2 linked regions of the Mus musculus genome follow. The protein of the gene in region 1 purifies or fractionates together with the protein of each later gene. This does not show direct contact. Links are inferred from orthologs where the notes say so. Each region holds a gene or a part of one and is shown in the gene's direction. Other genes may lie near its edges.

What was found. Proteins that work in one complex are often made in the same cells at the same time.
Region 2: the proteins of Stk11 (region 1) and Cops8 purify together in Homo sapiens (affinity purification with mass spectrometry; 3 studies listed by BioGRID and IntAct, with this or other methods). This does not show direct contact. The link is inferred for Mus musculus from reciprocal best matches to the Homo sapiens genes STK11 and COPS8.

What each region holds. Positions count from the first base shown.
Region 1 is NC_000076.6:80,112,549-80,119,722, forward strand, and holds the start of Stk11 (serine/threonine-protein kinase STK11), read left to right. Parts: upstream 1-3,246; 5' UTR 3,247-4,069; coding exon 4,070-4,359; intron 4,360-4,399; exon of another isoform or gene 4,400-5,039; coding exon of another isoform or gene 5,040-5,275; intron 5,276-7,174. UniProt on the Homo sapiens protein: Tumor suppressor serine/threonine-protein kinase that controls the activity of AMP-activated protein kinase (AMPK) family members, thereby playing a role in various processes such as cell metabolism, cell polarity, apoptosis and DNA damage response.
Region 2 is NC_000067.6:90,601,041-90,608,373, forward strand, and holds the start of Cops8 (COP9 signalosome complex subunit 8), read left to right. Parts: upstream 1-2,384; 5' UTR 2,385-2,509; coding exon 2,510-2,587; intron 2,588-3,334; coding exon 3,335-3,405; intron 3,406-4,423; coding exon 4,424-4,472; intron 4,473-5,496; coding exon 5,497-5,629; intron 5,630-7,333. UniProt on the Homo sapiens protein: Component of the COP9 signalosome complex (CSN), a complex involved in various cellular and developmental processes.

The sequences.
Region 1 (7,174 bases):
GAGTGCTGGGATTAAAGTCATGTGCCGCCACTGCCCAGTGAGTTTAGAGGTTTTCACTGGACAGTTTCTGGTGGGGTGTTTTGGCTCAAATTATCCAAACATTTATTAGAGTTTTTTCCTTTTTTTTCTTCTTGAGACACTCTTGCACTCTACAGCCCAGGCTGGCTTCAAACTCAAAGAGATCCACATGTCTCTGCCTCTGTCTCCCAAGTGCTGGCATTAAAGACATAAATGACTACTGCTGGCCTAGTTTTGATATTTTTAAAAAAGATTTATTTTATGTATATGAGTACACTGTAGCTGAACAAATGGTTGTGAGCCTTCATGCAGTTGTTGGGAATTGAATTTTAGGACCTCTGCTCGCTCTGGTTGGCCCTGCTTGATCCAGTCCACTCTGCTCCTTCAGGCTCAAAGATTTATTATTATACATAAGTACACTGTAGCTGTCTTCAGACACACTAGAAGTGGGCATCAGATCTCATTATGGGTGTTTGTGAGCCACCATGTGGTTGCTGGGTTTGAACTTAGGACCTTAAAAGAACAGTCAGTGCTCTTACCCACTGAGCCATCTCACCAACCCTAGTTTTGATATTTTTATTTTTATGTTTTCTGCTTCTTTGGAGGTTGTAATGGCTATTCCTGGTTGTCAGCTTGACTATATCTGGAATGAATTACAATCCAGAATTGGAAGGCTCACCTGTGATCCTGATCTGGAGGCTGGAAGATACAAGTTTCTGACCTGGATCTTGGCATGGAGATCTTGAGGCATAGTGACTATGAGTCCCAGGAGACTAAGACAGGGAGAGCTCCGAGTTCAAGGTCAGCCTGGGAAAAAACAAGTCCCAGATCCAGGCCGGGTGGTACACACCTTTAATCTGGGCCACACCTTCTGATAGAGACCTACAAGGACATTGGAAGAAGGAAGACTCCCTCTTCTTTGCCAGCACAGCTGTTGGAATCTACTGGCCTGTGGGACCGAGCAACTGTTAGATCTTTGGACTTCATTCACAGCTGACTGTAGTTGGAAAGTTGGACTGCAGACTGTAAGTCATCATCACAAATTCCCTTACTGTATAGACACTATCCATAAGTTGAGTGACTCTAGGGAACCCTGACTAATACAGAGATGGTAGCACTATGTAGCCCAAGCTGGCCTGGAACTCACTACGTAGTTGAGGGTGAACTCTTTCCTGCCACCGCCTGAGCCTCCTGTAAGTGTGACGTATGTGGCAGCAGGGATGGAAACAGCCTGGCTGCAGGCTTCATCTTTAGTCTGAAGTTTTCCCTCCTGGTGGCTTCTACCCCACCCCCCACCCCAGGCACCATTCCCATTGTGCTTCTATGGTCTGGAATCTGCGGCCTCTCAGGGATAATTCATGTTATTGAAGTGGTACTGAGTTCCCAAATTTACAAAGTAGCTGCTCTACTGGAAGTCACAGTTTTGGTTCTCAGCACTCTCACATGCCTGGTCACAACTATTTGCAACACCATTTCCAAGGTATCTGAGGCCTCAGTGGGGTCCTGAATGTGACAGACATACACACAGGTAAATATGATAAATCTCTAAATACTTCTAACTATATCTCTGACCCAGAGTTCTCACCAGAGTGATAACTCTTCCCGTCAGAGAATTCAGGGTAATGTCTTGGGGACATGAGAGGCTGTCACACTGGGGGAGCTCAGGTACAGATCGGGTAGAAACAGAATGTTGTCTATTGCCCCTGACTCTTTCTGGATCTGTCCTTGGAGTCTGTCAGGGGAAGGGTGGAGGTGGAGGAGGAGACTTCCTTATCACTGCCATAGTTTAAGGCAATGTCAGAGCAATGAAATGGAGGTGAAACTCCAGAGTCTCCCTGTGTGATGTGGGTGCTGGCCAGCAAACCTGTGTGCTCAGGAGAGCAGCCAGTGCTCTTCACCCCTGACCTGTCCCTCCATCCAGCCTGACTCTGTTTGTCTAGTCTGTGTTTTCCCTGGATTTCTGTCTTCACGTCTGTTTCTCTGATCTTTTTTCTTAATTTATGTGCTTGCATAAGTCAGTTCTCTCCTCCTTTTAAGTCCTGAAGGCTGAACACATGTAGAGCAAGCACTTTTCCCACCTTTCCTGGAGTCTAGGTCTCTCCCTCCCCCAGGACTCTCCTGGCAGTACACCCCGCCCCCTAGTGGCCTCGGAGGGAACCATAGACTCACGGATCTATGGACCTTGTAACCGGCCTGTGCGTAAACTTGTGTGTAGAGGGAGTCAGGCAGGGTGAGCACTCGTCCCTCAATCATACTCCAACCCTTATTTTTTATTCGTGCAGTTAAAAAAGGGCACAGATAAAAATAATTAGATTAACCACCCAAAAACACTGCAGCAGGTGAGTTGAGGCCAGCGGCGACGTCTTACCCAGCCACCTTTTTTGATAACTGTTATTTAAAATTCTGTGTTGTGTGTGTGCGCGCGCGCGCCTACCACGGAGTCCCTAGGTTCAGAGACAGCCTGAGGGAGGCATTTCACTCTAGCCACCTTGTGAACTTACGGGGATCGAACTCATGAAGTCAGATTTGACGTCAATCGCCCGCAACCTCTGAGCCATCTCACCAGCCCAGCTGCTCTTATTTTGCACAGGAAACGCTCCTCTCTATGCCATGGATCTCAGAGGCGCTACATTAAGGCTTCAGGTTCGGGAGTGTCGACTTTGGGCTACTTTTTGACCTTTGACCCCTCCCCCAAGGCCGTTAAGAGCAAGCCTGGGCTGGATCTCTTTAGGGATCCACGAGCCTCTCTCTCCACCCTCCCCCATGCCTCCAGTCGCGGCCGTTCCCCGGAGGACGTTGACGCGCGTGAACTCTAACCGGAGGCCCGAAACTCCGAGGTCACCACAGCCAGCCCAGAGGTTTCGCTGGCCCGTCGCGCTTGCTGACGGGCGTCTGCGACAGCCACTGGCAAATAAAGTCCCGCCCCCACACACCAGGGCCAACCACTGAGGGGCGGGGCTTGAAGCCACAGCCCACGGCCGCTCCCTTACAGTCGCTTGCTTACTCCCATTGACGGGCGTCTCAGACAACCAATGAGAATTTAGATCACGCCTTCTCAGATGGAACCCGAACTGTCCAATGTCAGCTCGGGCGCCCACCTAGATCCAAATAGCCCAATCCTCGTTGGCGATTGAGGCGGGTCCGAAAGGTGGGGCCTAAAGCTACAGCCAACTGCCGCGCACGTCGGCTCCGCGAGGGGGCGTGTCCACCGTTGCGACGTGCGACGACGGCGCGGCGCAGGGCGGTAAACAAGATGGCGGCGGCGTGTCGGTCTAGGAAAGGGGAGGCGGCTCACGGCGTCCGCGAGTGAGGCGCGAGTCGCCGAGGGCGGCGCCGGCGTGGAGTTGTCTCTCGCGGGCAGCATCTTTCTGCCTGGAGTTCGATTCCCCCCTCGCCGCTCCGGCCTCCTGCCTGTCGCGCGGCGGCTAGGCGGCGAGGGGGACGCGCCGCCTGGGGTGGTTTTTTTCCCCCCTCGGTCCCCGGAAGATTTCCTGTCCGGATTTCGTGTCCGCGACTTGCGGGTGTCCCGGTGTCCCGCGTCCGGGTGGAGTCTGCGCCCCGAGAAGTCGTAGAACTAAGGGGCCGCGCGCGGCTTCGGCGCGGGCCGGACATGGACGGCGCGGACCGGCCTCGACGCGGCCGCCTGGGCCCCTGAGCGCGGGGCCCAAGTGGCGAACATGACCTAGCGGCCCGCGCGCCGCGACGGCGGACCGTCGCCTCCGTCGGAAGCAGCGTCCCCGGGGACCCGAATTGGGGGGACGCGAGGGTTGGGGGGGCTCATTGCTTTTTTTTTTTTCATTCTTATTTTCATTTTTTTTCTCCCTGAGCACCTAGAAGAAAAGGGGAAAATCAAAAGTGAAGAATTGGCGCCCAGGAAGCGGACGTGGACCCGGTTGTGGGGACCGGGAGAGTTGTGGAGGTCGTTCCTGTTTTTCCCCGTTCCTTTTTTCCCCTTCTTGGAACATTTGGAAGAAGCGGGTGGGGGGGGGGGAATTCGAACTTGAAAAGAATTGGCGCTCCCGAAGGGGACGAGGACAAAGAGTGGGCCAGGATGGACGTGGCGGACCCCGAGCCGTTGGGCCTTTTCTCCGAGGGCGAGCTGATGTCGGTGGGCATGGACACCTTCATCCACCGCATCGACTCCACCGAGGTAATCTACCAGCCGCGCCGCAAACGCGCCAAGCTCATCGGCAAGTACCTGATGGGGGACCTGCTCGGGGAGGGCTCGTACGGCAAGGTGAAGGAGGTGCTGGACTCCGAGACCTTATGCCGCAGGGCGGTCAAGATCCTCAAGAAGAAAAAGCTGCGCAGGATCCCCAATGGAGAGGCCAACGTCAAGAAGTAGGTGCCAAGGGCCTGGGGCCGACGCGGGCGCTGCCTTGAGCTCCTTGGGCAGCCCTTCCTCCTACTTTCTGGCTCTTCTCTTTCCTCTAACCGTTTTCTCTTCTCATTTCCTTCCTCCTTTTTCATCTCTTTCCTTTTACTGCCTTATCTACCCCATCTATCCCTGAGCGTCACCTCGTGGGGTCTGTATGTTAGGGCAGCCTGCAGGACTGTCCTAGCAGGAGGTCGTGCAGCCAACTGCGCCTCCAGCCCCCCTCTTTGGGCCAGGTCCTGGCGCAAGTCGCGCCTGGCTTCTTTGGCGGGCGTTGCCAGGCGGGTGGCTAGTTTGTTTACGCAGCTAGAGGGAACCGGTGGGGCCAAAAATAATGGTGAAGGGGGTGGGGGGGGTAGCCGGCCAGTGCTTGCGCAGGTCCCTGCGGTGTCGTGCGCGTAGTTGGCGTCGTTGGCCCGTGGGGACTCTTTATCGCCTGCTAGGCTTGGCGGAACTTGGAAAACTTCACCTACCGGCTTCCAAGAAGGGGCCTTATCTTTGGGACCAGCACTGGCCACACTCTGCCTAACTGACCTTGCCTCTGGTCCTGTCCCAGGAAAGGCTGGCAGCTTCTTGTTTTTGCCAGCTGGGCACTGCTTTGAGTGGTACGTACAGGAAAGGAAGGTGGACAGATATCCAGGATCAGATGTGTGGACCCAGGGGTGGAGCAGGGCAGGCTGGTGGCCTAGGCTCCTCTCAGGACCTCCTTGGCCTTTTTTGTAGGAGTGGTCTTAGGTCAGTCTTGCACTGGGGAACCTGGGCACCCAGCATCAGGTGTTCCTTCAGAGGCCTGAGCTTGGAAATTCCTGGCTTGAAATCATTGTCTCAAGGTGGAGGTGCCAGAGGTTGCTCACCTCCAGGTGGTGTCTGCTGGTCTCCAAGGCAAGTGGCTTCCTTTGGCTTCAGGGTAATGGTTCTTGGAAGCCCACCATGTCTGGGAGGCTGCCCAGGCCTGCATCCTGGCTTGGGTCAGCTGCAGTCCTTGTAACACATGGCAAGCCTGTGTGCTCTCTCTGCCTGTGACAGAGGGCCCCAGAGCTCTGTCTGCGACTTCCTAGCCCTCACCTGCTGCTTTAGGCTTCCTGCCATCTCAACACCCAGGTTGGGGTGTGGCTTGCAGAGCCAGGCAGGTTCAGCTGAGAGAGATTGGTCCCTAGATCCTGAAGTAAACCCCCCCCCCCATGAATTAGTGATGCTGGACACAGTCAACACTGGAGGTCATCAGGACTGGGGAGCTCCTACACACTAGGGTGATATAAGGAGCCTGCACGGTTCCTCAAGACAGGAGTTGGTCTGGGCAAGTAGACACATGCCTCTCATTGCAGTGCTGGAGAGACTGAGGAAGGAGGATTGCTTCTGTTTCTAGACCAGCTAGGAGTGCATGGGAAAACCTGGTTTTATAAGGGAAACTGGTTGGTAGGGTGAAGGCCCCAGGACCCACAAGGTGAAAGCAGACTCAGTTCTCACAAGTTTGCTCTGACTTCCATGTGTATGCTGTGGCACATGTATATACACACACAAGATAAAAACCAGGAGGAGAAACTGAGGCAAAAGCTGCAGACTGACACACTGCCCTGCAGTAAGGTGCTTGACTGGCAGGATACAAAGCCAGGTATCTCCATGGGAGTGCTGGTGTTCCCCACTTCCTGAGTGGCTCCTGCAGGGCAAAGCCTAGGGCTGCTGCACCTGCTTGTGTGATCCCCACTCAGCCACAGCCTGGAAGGGGCAGCTTGGCGGGCAACAGCTGGTGCGGGCAGAAAGGCTCCTTTGTCTGCAGGGGCTTAATAGACTGCACTCCTGTTGTCTCTCTCACGGTGAAGTGTCTGGAACCTTCCAGGCAAGCCTCTGGGGTCCTGTCCTCCAGTCTGCACACAGAGCTTTCTCCTTCCAGTACCATACTGTGGATGCATGCCAGGGCGTCAGGTAGTGTAGTGCCTCCGTTCCTGGCAAGGCTGCAGAGACCTGTGCCCTTGGCTCCTGTCATCCCCACTGTGAGAAGTCGCAATAATTTTTTTTAATTTTTATTTTTTTTAACGTACATTGCTGTTTTGCCTGCATGTGCATCTGTGTCAGATCCCCTGGAACAGGACTTAGAGATAGTTATGAGCTGTTATGTTAAATTGAACCCAGGTCCTCTGGAAGACTAGCCAAGTACTTTTGGCTACTGATCCATCTCTGTAGCCTCAAGTAGCATGATCTTAGTACCAGCTGATAGGAGAGTTGAGGAAGTTGCTGGTGACCTGCTGCTAGCTCTATGGCTCTATGGCTTTGAAGCCCCCCACCCCTCAAGTGTACTGTGGTTGTCCTGCTCTGCCTTACCTGTGGGGCTTTGTGTGGTTAAAACCCCATGTAAACCCCCTGGGTGCATGGGCCTTGTTGCCACTTGCTTGTGCATAGATATACTTTGAGATGAGACAGGTTGATAAAGCCAACCCAGAATACGGTGGGGATGAGGCTCTTCCATTTCCATGTTGTCTGTATGGTGTAGTGGAAGGCATGGATCTCTCTCCAGCTGATGCCCTCACCACCAGGAGAATGCCTCTGTATGCTTGCTTTTTGTTGGTGTTTTGTTTTCTTGTATTGTGTTTCCCCCATCTAGCCCTGGGTGTCCTGGAACTCACTTTTAGACCAAGTTGGCCTCGAACTCAGAAATCCGCCTGCCTCTGCCTCCCGGGTGCTGGGATTAAAGGCGTGCACTACCACTGCCTGGTAACATTCTTTTTTTTTTAAGATTTACTTATTTACTTTATGTATATGTGTACACTGTAGCTGTACAGAAAG
Region 2 (7,333 bases), on another chromosome or scaffold:
AAGTGGGGCAGAGCTGGAGAAAGGTCAAAGGCTCAGTGTGCATTAACCACAGACTGTGCATACATTCTGCTGGCCAGGACTCTGCTGTATGTCAACCTTGTGGGGAAGGGGGTTTCCAGGCTCCTTGCTTTTATATGCCAATGTTGACTTCCATACTCCAAGCATAAAACTTCCTGGGGGAAAAAATGGCACAGGGTCAGCAGGCCTCCATATCACAGGAGGAAAGTGAGTCACAGCATAATTGAGTAAGCAATGTGTACACAGTTCCAAGGAGGGAGGAGCCCATAGAGTTACGATATTTCAAATGGTTTCGCTCAACAGTCAGAAGGCTATTAGGTCAGACACACCTGGGCAAGGGCTAGCTGTCAAGGGAACAGAAGACAGGCCAGGATAAAGTACCATTATACTATGAACCTGCAACCCCCCAACCTCTTCCCAACCCCTGAAACGTTAATCAGTCAGTCAATTAGTCTGTAAGGGATAGCTTCTTTATGGGAACTTTTGTTCACATGCGTTTGAGCAGAAGAACAAAAAGGTATGGTGTGTGCTTCAAAGAAAAGACGTTGGGCAGGGAATAGTGAAGGGGGACTTGCTTATCAGGAGACCAGGAAAGGTCGGGCACACCACTGGCCCAGGCTAGAAAGACTTCACTCACCTTGTGTGTGTGTGTGTGTGTGTGTGTGTGTGTGTGTCTGTGTGTGTCTGTGTGTGTCTGTGTGTATGTGTGTCTGTGTGTCTCTGTGTGTGTCTCTGGTGTGTCTGTGTGTGTCTGTGTATGTGTGTATGTGTGCACGCGCACATGAGATGTACACAGGTACACAGGTGATAACACTGTGCTGGTCTGCTGAGCCTGAGGCAGGCAGAGAGAGAAGTGAGAGTTAGGTTTGGAGCTTTTCCAAAAGTTCAAGGCCAGCCTGGGCTACTTAGTAAGACCTTGTCTACCAGTAAGTAAAAGGAGACCCGGGGGCACAGCTCAGTGCTAAAACTATGCACGAGGCCTGTGTTCCAGTCTCCAGTTCTGCCAGAGAAGACAGCAGGGGGCAGGTGTGGTGTCCGGACCATTGCTTGCTGTGTCTGAGCACTGACTAGGGTCTGGCTGGGTGTTTTTACCTCTCATGCCCAGAACTGAAATTCAGGCACCCAGGTTTGCAAAGTAGCAAGGAAACTTTATGCAAAAGCAAAGCCATACTACAGATCAGAAAGAAATATGCTGTCAAGAGTGACCGCTGGCCACATGAGCCAGCATACTCTAGAGCCCCAATTACTGTTTGGGGTTTTTATGAGCTTTGAGAGGAGTCTTATTGCTAAGGAGCACTGCATTCTGTTTTGATTGAAAAATTTTGCCGGACAGTGGTGGCACAAGCCTTTAATCCAAGCACTTGGGAGGCAGAGGCCAGCCTGGTCTACAGGGTGAGTTCCAGGACAGCCAGGGCCATACAGAGAAACCCTGTCTCGAAAAACCAAAACACACACACACACACACACACACACCAAAAACAAAACAAAAACAGAAAAAACAATTTAGTTATGTTACCTCCCTTTTCTATTGTGCATGTCTCAATATGTAAAATTATTGAATTTTATTAAATAATTTTATTATTAAAATGTATTTGATTTTAATCAAAAGCGTTCACAAGCACGCACAGGCAGAAGACAGTAAATAGGAGTTTCTCTCAGCAAATTCACTTAGAAGACATGGTTCACCCTCCTGGGCAGGCACCTAAAACCAATTCAGGCTAGATCAGACCTCCTGGCCTCATAATGCACCTAACTGGATTATTACTGAATAGAATCTGTTCGATGGTCCGCAGAGAGCGAAGAAACTTATCCCATTACTTGGAGAGGGTTTGTCTGCATGCAGTTCCATGCAGGTTGTGAACAGGGGTCCTGGTTTGCTGACAATTGCTAGGTGATTTTTTTTTTTTTTTTTTCAGAAAAAGGTGTGTGTGTGTGTGTGTGTGTGTGTGTGTGTGTGTGTGCGCGTGCGCGTGCGCATAGTAGGTGTAGGTGAGAGTCAGGCTGCTAAGTGAATTGTTAGAAGAGGGGTGTGTGCATAACCCAAACCAAGAAGAGTTTCAGGTTTGGAGTTTCTTGGACTTGTATGTAACACTTTAGCTTAGAAGAAGTACAGTTCAGCGCTCTCGAAACACGTGGAGGTCCAACGGTTTTACTGTTCTCCCACGGCAACTTTGGTTGTGGAAAAATGTAGTCCCGTTATCATTTCCCCGTGCGGATAATCCGAGCCGCAGCCGAACCCTTCCGGATCGCAGGGCTCTGACTCAGAAAGCCGGTTCGTCCTAGCCTGGGGCGGGTCCTCCAGAGCACCGAGACGTTGGGGCAGAGCGCTCGCCGCCCTTGTATTCCGCTACGGCGTCGCTCGGGAAGTGACGACACGCTCGCCCATGCGTACTGAGAGGCAGCTCCTTTACCTCATCGCGGGCGCGACGCCCCGAGGGCCAGCTTGTGCTTTGGTCTGGCAGAGGTGGTGGCGGCGAGAGCGGCCGGGAAGATGCCAGTGGCGGTGATGGCGGACAACGCCTTCAGTTTCAGAAAGCTGTTGGATCAGTGCGAGAACCAGGAACTCGAGGTAGCGCCGCAGGGTGGGGCGGTCGGGTGGGCGCCGTTTCCAGGGTAACGGGCCGGGCCGCGGCCTGCGGGGCGCACACTCCGGGTTCATCAAGAGATGCTGCTTCCATTTGTAACGTTAAGTTAAGTTCGCTAAATAGGCTGGGCGCAGTGGCACAGGACTCCGGTGGGCACACGTCAGGCGGAGGCGAGAGGATTGCCGGTGAATTCGAAGCCAGCTTGAACTATGAAAACCCCAAAAATAAAAAATAAAAATAAAAAAGAAAGAAAAAGGAAAAAAAAAAGGGAGGGCGGGGGCTCACGGACTAAAGGAGACAGCAGCAGCTTGCGGATGAGCCTTTAGCAGACCTTGCTGAATGAATAAAGATTGAAGAGAGACAGGCCTCTATAACTACCTTTTGGTAGTCTTCTGTCTTAAGCTTACTTAAGCTTTTAAGATAACGGCCAGAAAAATAGTGCATTAAGAACCTGTTGGAAGTAGTCCCCCCCCCCTTTTTTTTAATTTGAGACCTGACCTTCCGAGGTAATGTCACTTACATATTTGTGACTATGGAAAGAAACTGATATCCAACTGCAGATAAATGACAGCTCACAACAGATCTAAACTCAGGTTTTAACCTTTGATACTTCCCTAAGCATTTTTCTGCATCTATAGTAGTGCTGGAAAACTTACTTTTTAAGTTTTCATTTTCTCTTTTCTGAAAGTGTATTAGGAAGTGAGGCTTTCCCCTCTTTTTTCGCTCTCTAGGCTCCTGGAGGAATTGCCACACCGCCAGTGTACGGTCAGCTTCTAGCTTTGTACTTGCTCCAGAACGACATGTAAGTAGCACCTTTTACCTAAAACGAAAAGCTTCCTTGAGATGATGCAGGAGTACATGCAGCAGATAGGTGTCTTTTACTGTAATCCTGTTATATCTGTTTCCCTTTTTGTCATAATTAAGAATAAATAAGCTCGATATTTTTCTTGTCGTGTATGTCTTACATACACCTAAAAACATGGTAAGTTCTTGTGAGAAATTAGCATCAAGAACCAATGGAGTTTAAAAAAAAAATCATGTTTTTTTTTTCTTTTTACTTATATTTACTCAGAAACTGGGTGGTGGCGCACACCTTTAATCCTCCCACTTGGGAGCCAGAGGCAGGCAGATCTCTGAGTTTGAGGTCAGTCTGGTCTATAGGTCCAGCTCCAGTACAGCCAGGGCTACACAGAGAAACCCTATCTAAACAAACAAACAAATAAAACCAAAGCAACTGTATATGTACTCAGTAGGAGCAAAAAAGCTGGGGCTGGGAAGGAACACTGGGAGAACCAGGGGAGGTAGACATGTTTGAATTAGTCTTCCTGGGTGGGAGGCAGGAGCTTGAGAGGGCTAGAGAATAGAGGCCTGGTGCAGTTCCAAACCTACTGTGATATTTTTACAGAAACTACACTGAGTTTCTTCATTATACATATAATCGTGTGTCTTACGACTCACTAGGAGAAGGGCTCCAGATTATAACAGCACAGTGTATGCCTGTATTGCGAGGGATACCCAAAGCCTCGAAATGGACACATTGTTTGTACCTGAGTGGTTGTGTGTAAGTCTGTGGTTTGAATGTGTTGTTATGGTTTAGGATCTGAATTGTTAGTTTAAAAAGAACTCCTAAAAAAAATTTTTTTAATTAACCTGGGAAAAGGTTATTTCATGTCCTCCTTTTTTTTTTTTTTTTTTAATTGCTTTTCCTCAACAAATTCATATAAAACTGAGTTGTGCCATGGCCTGTTTTGGTGTTTCGGCCTGTAATTTTATGTATTGACTGAGGTGACTATTTTGTAACTCATCTTTGTGTAAATCAGGAATAATGCAAGATATCTGTGGAAGAGGATACCACCTGCTATAAAGTCTGTAAGTAATCCTGCGGTGTCCCCTGTTGCTTTTAGAATACTGGCATTTACTTAAATGACAGCCTACAAGTCCTCTTTCTTTCCCATATATATCACAGGAACCGTTGTTAAGTGAAGGTTAAAGTTCCAAACCATCTGTTTCTCTAATGGAATGGTTCATGTGCTGATGGTTTCACAAGGCCTGCCATGCTGATGTGAACTGGCCAGTTCGGTACAGAGGGGGCTGAGGGGCTGAGGCATTTCAGCAGACTACTTGATTTGCTGTAATGATAGCTATTTGTAAACTGGCATTGTTTACACAGATATTCACTGCATTAAGATCACTGTTTTAATTAGATGTCTTACTTGGGATGAAGATGAAATAAATGAAGTAACCTGTGAAAAGTGTCTTGCCAGGTAGAAGGAAGTAAGATTTATTTCACTTGCTTCCTTTTCCATTCTGTTTGTAAGACGGGAGCTGCACTCAATAAGAATGAAACAGCTCAGCTGATAAGAGTGGGAGCCCTGCAAGTAGGCTCTAATTGACAGGGCCTTGATAATCAGCTTTCTGCTAGTTTTCTTCCATGGAGAAGTGCTAGCGTCTTAAATTTAAACAGCAGTGCCTACAATAATTGATCCCAAGTCTTCATTCTGAAGTATATTTTACTTTCTCATGCTTTCATTTGTAGTTGCAATAAAAACATTAATTATAGAAATTGTTAATATAACTGCTCACAGCATTTTAGAATCAGGCAGAGCCAACCTCTGGACATTGCAAAGCAGTGTTATCATCTGCAGAGTTCATAGTCTAGAACTGGGTATGCAAGTTACCTAGAAGAAAAGGGTTCCCAGTTTATACCTGTTCTTAGCCCTGTGGCCTGCACGCTGGATACACCTGTCAGAAAAGTAATTTCATCTCCTAAAATGAATGAATAGAGTATATTTTAATGATACAGCTAACAAATTTTGTCATTTCTGATATTTTTAAAGATATGATCATTATTAATTACAGTGAATGCTTTCAAAGACAACAATTTTTATTTCAGGCAAATTCTGAACTTGGGGGAATTTGGTCAGTTGGACAGCGAATCTGGCAAAGAGATTTCCCTGGGATCTATACAACCATCAACGCCCACCAGTGGTCAGAGACTGTGCAGCCAATCATGGAAGCCCTTAGAGGTAGTGTTTCCTTGTGGTTAAGTCATGTTGCGTTCAGGCTGTCCTTGGAGCGTGTACTGATAAACTGGACAGCTCTGATTTGGGACTCCCTTTGAGACTTGAGCTAGATCTAAGCTGATTGTGATTCTTCGTCTCAGTACTGGGCATTCTGGGGAATAGACCAGGAGCAGAGGGTGTTGCTGTGGATTCCAGGTCGCAGTTAGCTCATTGGCAGTATCTTTTATCCTCTTCATTATTACTTTTGTGGTAACAGAAAGTTTGTGACAGAGTCTCGCTGTGTAGTCCATACTGCCCTTTCCTTTTTGGGTTACTGGTGTGTTTCACGTGTGGCCTTGTGAAAGTGTTCTTTGCTGCTAACATGAAACCAGGCAATAATCGAAAGGTCGTGGTATCTGCAGGTCAAGACTTTTTGTCTGTGTATTTGAAAGTAGCAACTAGACTTTGGACTTTGTCAACCTTGGTCTTTGATAACTGTTATGTCCCCTCTATACATCTTGTAAAAGGAACCGTCAAGGAGCCTCGAGGCTCAGTTGTGTAAGGTTAGAGGCTGGCATGGTGTGGCCCTGACACATGATAGCTCTGCCCCTGCCGCCTTCCTTTCTCATGTTGCCATGCTTTGGGTCTTTCTGGGTCACTCGAGTTCTTTTTATTGCTCAGGGGATCCAATCCAGGCAAGCAGCATTGTATCCTCTAGGAGTGGACTCACTGACATTTCTGAGCCACCCAGCATGGGAGCTAGGAAACAGATTCTGGTCCTGTAAGAGCAGAATGCATACACACTCTTTGTGGGCCCACCACACACATCATACAATGAGCTCTTACGTTGTTCTTCCTGTCACCTCGTTTCTGTAGTGAACACTTGCCTTTAGTGGGTATTCCTTAAGTTAGTGGGCTGGTCCTTCTCAGCATGGTAAGGACATGGGTGTGCCAGGCAGCAGAGGGTAAGGATTGCTGGGAGCTGCACCAATCAGCTCTTAGCAGCAGTACCTGGACCAGCATTCAACAGTGTACACAACAAAACAGAGACAGCTGCTGTGAGTAAACATGAGCAGGATTTCAGGGTAGGTGGGGTTGGAAGGGGGAGTATGGAATGAGGCCATGTGAATGTCCTGGAGCAGCCTGAGAGCTAGTCTAGGAAACATCACTAGGGAAGTCACCAGAAGTAGGATTGTCTAGGAAACATCACTGGGGGAGTCACCAGAAGGTAGGATTGACAGATTGGCTTCAGCCTGGTAACTATGTGGTGAACACGCAAGCTGCCTTCTCCAGGTTGGACTACAAGCTCATTGGCAGGATTTGGGTAGGAGCTCCTAACTCATTTAGCAAGTGTTCTTATGTGTATTTTATTCTTTCTAGTACCACCTTGCACCTATGAAATTAAGAGCTGCTTCCAGCTTGCTGGAGCTTGGTCTCTGGAGCCAGGCTCTTGAATTTTCATTCTGGTGCATCCACCTGCTGGCCTTCATTTGCTTGTTAAAAGACAAAATTGAAGGGTCATGTGTAAACGCTGGCCTTGCCTGCCTCACACACTGTTCTGTTCTATGCATAAAGATTTTCTTGAGACTGAAATGGTTCCAATTCCTAAATGGTACATGCATCTTTTTCTCTGTAAAATGCCACCCTGGGAATGGCAGTCTTAGAACAGGTTGAAATTGTTCAGAGTTTGAAGTTTTGCTTCTCAGTGTATGATAAACTTGCTAGTTA